2 linked regions of the Arabidopsis thaliana genome follow. The protein of the gene in region 1 interacts with the protein of each later gene in a pairwise test. Each region holds a gene or a part of one and is shown on either strand. Other genes may lie near its edges.

Region 1 (3,755 bases):
CAATCAAACAGGGCTTTCTCTTTGATCTGGTTGTTCTCTTGTTTCCTCTTGTCACTTGCCATATCTTCGGCAGACAATGTTATGAGTTTCTCTGGTGAAATCTCCCCAGTGAGAACCCTCCTTCTTAAGTCCGGGTTGTTACTATCCCTCAGGTTGAACATTATAGATCTGTACTTAAGCTTCTGAGCTCCAGTTGAGCGACCCAATTTCTCAAACATCAGTGATTCCACTGAGACAGCAACACGTAAAGGATCACTAGCATTTACTGACTCTCTCTCATAGTCATCAGCTTCTCCAGCAACCCTGCACAACGCCTCCACAAGCAACTCACGGATTTTGTCACGCACAGGATCATTGCATTTGAGCATTGCAGTTAGTTTTGGAGGAGCATTAGCTGCTTTAGCTGGAGCTTTCATACTTGATTGGTTGTCCTTTGAGACCTTTTCATCTTTCACAGCCTGACCACGATAATCTATCTTGGTTCCATTGGTGACTTTGATGTCAGGTACCTTTCTCTCTATCTTGACACCGGTAACAACTTTATTGTCAGGTTCCTTTCTCTCAACCTTGATACTCTTAGCCGAATCACCCCTCTGAAGTTTCTGAACTTTAACAGGAGCAGGATTTGAAGGCTTCTCAACATCCATCTTATTCACCTTAGCCTCTTTACAACCGTTAGTGCCTTCGGTTTTCTTAGCTTTGGCTGTCTCTTCAATGACAACTTTCTTCCATATCTCAAGCAGATCAGTAGCTACGCTTTTGATATCTTCAACAGGATGTTTTGCAAGAGACCTCAGCTTCTTTCCCACCTGGAAGCAAGAAAAGAATATAACTTTCTCAAAAGCAAATACACACACTATCAACATTCCAGAGGATAATGTCCAAATTGGTTTGTTCCAACAATATCAACGGGGACGTACAAACAATTAGTCAATTATACAAATCAGTTAGCTCAAGCTTCTTCATCTATTGAATTAAAGTTACTCTTTTTAAACTTCTATAAACTTTTTCAGATGAAATTAAATAACCCTAATTAAAAATCTAAGGTAACAACAACACAAGTCAATGCAACGAGATTAAGCAATCAACACCTAGAAAAACCCTCCTAAATGCAACATATATAAACCTTTTCCTAAATGCAAAATAAATCAATCTTTTTTAGGGTTACGAGAAGATAATCAGAAACGAACCTGAGTCGCAACGAGGGTATCGTATGTGACAGGAAACTTCTTGAGCTGTTTAAGGGCATCGATACATTGAGAAACCTCAGGACCTGAAGAGGTAACACCGTCAAGAGCCGCCGCATCGGCTGCCTTCTTAGCTCCCTCGAACAAATCAATCAAATCACTCTCCATCGTTCCGACAATCCCTAGCTCAAAAAACAAAGCACCAACACCGATAGATCCAAGGCGACTCAGAACAAAGAACAATCCAACAAAATCTCTCAAGTATGGAGAGAAGGATTATAATCGGCGGAACCTCGTTTGAGTCACGACGAAGAAGATAGATAGAGATTACGGACTGAAACTGTGTTCTTAATTTATTTTATACGACCGAGACAAAGTGATCAACGGTTTCAGTTAAAACCTTGAAGAATCAACGGTTTGGATCACGTGGCTAGGTCTATGGATACTACTAGATTCACGCTTCTGCTCTCTTTCTCCTTATCCCGATATTACTGCATCAAGCTTGGGCTCACCCAGGCCCTTATTGGGCCAAAGTTTGATGGGCTTTTCACAAACAAAATAAAATTCTCGTTTTTATTGGTTTGTTGATATTAATAAACGACTCACTAATCCAAATACAACGGAAATTAGAAGGATTGATCGCAAAAATTGTACACAACTTAAAAAGAGATATCAAAAGAGTTTGGCATATATGATGCTGATGTTGACGACAACACTTCTTCCTCTTACCCCATTTTTCTTTATCCTTCACTTCTTACAAACCCATCGCTTGATTCATCTTCTCCGCCATCTTCTAAGGTTGGTCCCTTTTCTCTCTTGACCACCATCTTGTACAAGTAAAACCCTAGCACACCACCACTGCAACAGTAATCCAACAAACTTTTAAGCCTTCTTTCTGATAAGAATCCTAATTAATCCATTATATGCAAAGTGTGTTTTGCTTTTCCCCGTGGAATATTTGAATCTAGCAGGAAGTTTGGTCAAAAGGTATGACTAATCTTCCTTCATTCAGATATCTCTTTGAATTTTAGTTTAGGTTCTTCTATCAATCATCTTCCTATCGTGTTTCATTTATCAAATTGCAAATGTACAATGATTAATGATATGGTTTTCAGAGTGTACCTTGTAAGGGTGGTAAAAAAACCTAGGAACGTCGATTTCTATAAAGAGAAAAAGGAGAGTGAATTATGTTTCATTCAAAGCCATTCTTCAAACCATTTGAAATATAACATTGAGCAATGAAAGTTACCTGAGACAGTAGCAACCGCAACTCTCTCAAAAATATGATTGCCACTATAGCTGTTGAACATAAGAACACGGTAACAGATAAGCGTCACTAAACATGCTTTACATCTATACTCAACCGGAGAATGTCGGAAAGCCTCAAAAATCAGATTAGTGAAAAATTAATTTGTTGACTAAACTCAAAATCTAGGATTCAACAAGTATCTATTGGAACAAGACTCATTTCTAGACAAATCAATAATGCAACTTAAACTAATTCATTCATGGTTAGCTAATATGCATATCAGAGGGGTTATCAAAGCCGTTCCTAATCAAAGCACAATTCTGGTTGTTAAAACTAGATTTCAGTAACTGGGGCTAGCTTTTGTGAATGATATGAGAAAGGGTTAATACAGATTGAAAAACTTTACTAACCCATCTGTCCTTTTAAGAACTTTGTAGATGACTCTCCTTTCCTATGAGACTTTAGACTTGCCAGGCTCAGTGCAAAAAGGGCTCCACCAAGAATGACTCCAAACCTGATGGCCGGAATGCTTCCCGATACCATGAAGTTAATAAAACCACCCACAAGCAAGAGTAGACCTGTAAAGTATACAAACATTGTTATCCCGTTACTCACGAACAATGAAAGCTTACAAAAGATGAACAAGATATACAACATGTTTACCATAAGGTATTCCAACATGAAAATCATTCGCTCGGGACACATTTTTCAGATCCTCAGTGGAGGCAAATGCTTCAACAATCTCTTTCACATCTGATGGAGATTCTTCTGCTGCTTTCAAAATATATTCTCTACCCTCTTCACTAACCACTTTCGCTTTAGTACCCAACTCTTCTTTCGCCTTTTCCGCTTGAATCCTAAGTTGTTCAGAAGTTTCTTTCAAGACCGTCATCGCCTTTTGGGAGTTAACGGAGTATGCCTCCGATGACACACTCTGCATCTTTGATACCTGCTCTTTAAAAGACTCAAGAGTTTGTTTCCATGCTTCCTTAGATGTATCATCTTCAACATCTATATCACTCTTCTCCTTCCCCACCTCAACACCTGATTCTCCCTATTTGAACAATGGCGATAAAGGGTAATAATCAAAACATGTTCTTTAGCTAATCACAGATCATTTGATAATTTCAAACCCCAAATTGCACCTCACTTGAAATTGGCAGATTATATTGCTTAATCAAATAAATTTCACCAAAGTCCAATTTTTTTCTAGCCTCAAGCAATTTACAAGATAAAGCATCTGAATTTCGAGATACCCAACAGAGAAATTAGAAGTTTTGAGCACAACCACACTACTCACCGAATCCTCGTGGGATGCA
Region 2 (3,755 bases), on another chromosome or scaffold:
ACATTATGGCACTGTAACAACAAGGCAAGCTCCAGAAGTTCACCAGCAATGAATTAGTGATAGAAAAAAGAGGTAAAAACAACAATCACGACAATGTACAAAAAAAAAAACCATAGATAAAGTCAACAGGTAATAATAGTTACCACATATCACACGAATCACAAGCAATTGATGTATCAAGGTTTGAATCCCCTTCAATGTAACTGAAAGTGTTACGAATCTTGCAAAGATCTCCATCTAAACAGACAACTGCCTACAAAATGATTAGGAAAGCTTAATGTACTTTGTAGTAACTAGGAAAACCCATATATGATATACTTACATTTTCATCAATATAGTGTGTATCGTCAATATAGTGTGACGGAGAAGAGACGACATCAGTCTCCTCCTCAATGCAGCAATCTTCATCTCTGCATGTATTGCTTAGTTTAACGTCAGCAGATCACAACAGTTTTTAGCAAATACAGAAACATATGGTACACATGACATCTATCACATTTTAAATCACTTGATTATACTATGCCACTTAATATAAATTTATCATTATAGGCCACAAATAATTGAGGACAAAGAGACCGCTCAGATAGTTCAGGCAAGCAAACTTTATCACAACAACAAACACAAGGAAAAAAATAGTACCCTGATACCAAATCCTCATCGACCTTGCTGCTTTCACCTGAATCAAACACCTTCATAATCAAAACAAAAACTCATTATTCCTAAACTCAAAAGTTCTACTTACAAAAATCATGACAAATGTTCAGATAAAACAAAACAAAAAACAAATATGAGACATCTTACAGGGACACATGTAATCAACTGAAACTCTCTCTGACATAGAGGGCAGAGGTTCATAATCGTAGACCAATTATCAATGCATTCAAAGCAGAACCTGAAATTTAACAGACATAGACACAAATTACCAGACTGCTCCTTAACAAACACCCATAGCAACTTTGCAATATTTAAAGACAATGAAAAGCGAAAACAAGCTTTTACCAGTGCTGACAGCAATCAAGAACGCCTCTATCAATAATTATATCCATGCAAATTCCACATCTTTCCCCTTCAATTTCAGTCATACCCTGTTCAAAGAAATTAAAATCAACACTGAGAAGCAATAATGCACAAACACAGTTTATTAAAATCTCATCCTTGAGATTAAAAACCACATATGTTCCAGGAAACGTGACACAAACTAAATGAAATGGTTGACATAGCAACTTATGTTCATGATTCTAACTATAAAGCTACATAAACAACCATTTTCACCGGAAATTACAAGTTTTAAAGCTCCAGGCTCGAAATGAAAAAGGTAAACCCATGATTAGTTCAACCAAAAGAAAAATAGCCCAGAAAGTACAATTTTACACTAACATTATGTTCAACTTCAACAGCTTCATCTTCAACCAAGTTACTAGCGTCAAAATCGAGCTCCATTTCCTTCGTCACAAAGATGATCAGAGATGAAATCGATTTCCTGTAACAAGAACGACGCGTGAGAACAAAAAATCGAGGCGAAATTTTTGTAAACCCAAAGCCTACCTACCTCGGATCAAAAACCTACGAAGAAGCTGAGAGAAAAAAATCTCAGAACCCTTGATGAAATTGAAAAAAAAGGCGAAGCAGCTTCCAAGGGCAAAATTGGAAAAATTACGAGAGGGTGGAGATGACGTCACCTCTTTAGGCCAAGATTTTTGTTTTAGAAACTTTGATGAGAAAAGAATTGAAATTATGTCTTCGTCTCCCTGAAGATGAAATTTTCCATTTATAAACCACACGTGCTTTTTATGGGTCGAATCTCTTAACTTTCTGTTTCATGTGGGCCATTTACGTAAATACATTGAGCCCAACTTTGTAAAACATTTATCCTTTTTCTTCTCTAACCCCGTACTTTCTTTCTTTAGCATAAAAGACCTATAGTTTTCCTTTATGTACCATGGACCAAACATCAAAATTGCAAAGTTCATTTACAATTTACTATGTTTTTTATGTACATTTTTATCCTCTCAGCTGATTTAAGAATGAAGCATAGTTTCTAGGTTAGTAGGGTAACACATGTCCACGTGGCGACCATTCCATACATTGTCGGCTAGAATGGCGTTAACGGCGTCTGTAGGATGAAACTGGTCCCACCAGAGGTGACCGGAGGCGTCAGAGCAAGCCATCTCCGGCGAGATGCATGGAAGCCATCCTTTGTACCTCCCTAGCCCACAACACGCATCTGTCGTCTCATTAAAACCTGTCCACACCACAATACACACACAACTAAGATTCAACAAGACTCTTGACAAGTTACTTTCACACTTGAAGATGATCAGAAAACTCTATATATCACTCTCAGAAGACTATGTTTGAGTTCCAAGATACTGCTATGGGATTATAATGCTATGTTGTTACTTGTTACCAGTCACAGTCTTTTTGTGAATTGAGAATTGACATAGAAGTGGTGCTTACCGTAGTGTTGGTGGTTCCTGAGAATGTCCATAGCGCTTTGGAACACGTCACAGTAGATAATGGATGCCCCTGGAAGCTCACGGTTGAGTTTATCTACAGTGTATCTCATGACAAAGTTGGATTCCATGATCATGCTGTTCACTTCTTCTGCACATTCTCCGTTCTGGCTTCTGTATTTCCACATGTAGTATGGTGCACAGCCAATAGGTGGCAGTCCCATCACCACCATCCTCCTCACCTTGACATTGTACAAGGTCTGTGAAACAAACATAATACTTCTCTTATTAGGCCATCAATATGCAGCTAAATGAAGAGGCAACTACTATAACTCAATCATGTTTAGGCTATCAATATGCAGCTTAATGAGCTTTATGCTCTCTACAACTATACAAACCAGAGATCCAAAACAGAAAAAAGGGTTGTGATTTGATCTTCATAAAGGCAACGTTTTGTGTACTAATCAAGATGTCTCACTTATACTAACTATACTAACTCAGAATCATACTTGTCTGTCCCCTATAAACTCTTTACCAAGAGAAAACGTATAAAGATTGATTAGAGGTCTAACCTTGAGCTCCTGTCTCATATTAGAAGCCAAGAACTGATTAAAATTCCATGGAGTATAGAGATTCTGCACATTGGAGATGTTTCTGATGTAGAAATGTATGTAATCATTCACTCCAATCGATATGTAGAAAACCGAGTTTGACACTAAACGTTCCGAAGCTTTCTCCCCAATACTCAGTATCATCTGCTGAAACGTATCAACAAACTGCTCAACTTGCATCGCAAATGAAACCCGCTGGCCCTGCAACAACAAAAATTCCCCCACAGGATTGAAAAAGCTGAAAGATGGTATACAGAAAATGAACTCAAAAGACTCTGAAAAACTGAGTATTACCAATTCAGATCCACTTGATAAGATGATTCCAGCACCAGCTGATGCATAGTTTACTCCTTGAAACATGTCTTCAACAGTCCCAGTTTGTCCAAGATAGCTAGGAACGAATGGTAAGCCTAAACGATCAGCTGTTCACAAGATTTTCAATGGACAACAAAAAACGAATGATTCAACATTTCCTCAATGAATTTGTTCCTCTCAATTGTATAAAGAATCGAACACAAGAAGTCAACATTTTCGCTTACACTTCTAAGAATCAACTGGGACTATAATCAATATCCAGAAACTGGGGAAGAATTGTAACCTAGATAATCAACTGGGATTCTTCCATTGCAAAACCTTCCCGTTGGTTGATGCGTATCGAAATCGCGACCGTAGGGAAGCCGATCTGCTCTCG

Evidence for each region. Proteins that work in one complex are often made in the same cells at the same time.
Region 2: the proteins of TFIIS (region 1) and AT4G10930 interact in a two-hybrid assay, tested with the Arabidopsis thaliana proteins (one large-scale study listed by BioGRID).

What each region holds. Positions count from the first base shown.
Region 1 is NC_003071.7:16,132,402-16,136,156, reverse strand, and holds the start of TFIIS (transcript elongation factor IIS), read right to left. Parts: upstream 1,615-3,755; 5' UTR 1,356-1,614; coding exon 1,191-1,355; intron 810-1,190; coding exon 1-809. Other genes in the region: AT2G38550 (Transmembrane proteins 14C), read right to left, coding at 1,928-2,045, 2,310-2,347, 2,437-2,486, 2,847-3,014, 3,100-3,490, 3,737-3,755. UniProt on the Arabidopsis thaliana protein: Necessary for efficient RNA polymerase II transcription elongation past template-encoded arresting sites. Involved in the control of seed dormancy and germination.
Region 2 is NC_003075.7:6,709,484-6,713,238, forward strand, and holds the start of AT4G10930 (RING/U-box protein), read right to left. Parts: upstream 1,766-3,755; 5' UTR 1,550-1,765; intron 1,481-1,549; 5' UTR 1,441-1,480; coding exon 1,378-1,440; intron 1,086-1,377; coding exon 1,000-1,085; intron 893-999; coding exon 802-892; intron 690-801; coding exon 640-689; intron 411-639; coding exon 323-410; intron 254-322; coding exon 144-253; intron 1-143. Other genes in the region: AT4G10950 (SGNH hydrolase-type esterase superfamily protein), read right to left, coding at 2,019-2,242, 2,458-2,713, 3,026-3,265, 3,359-3,486, 3,663-3,755.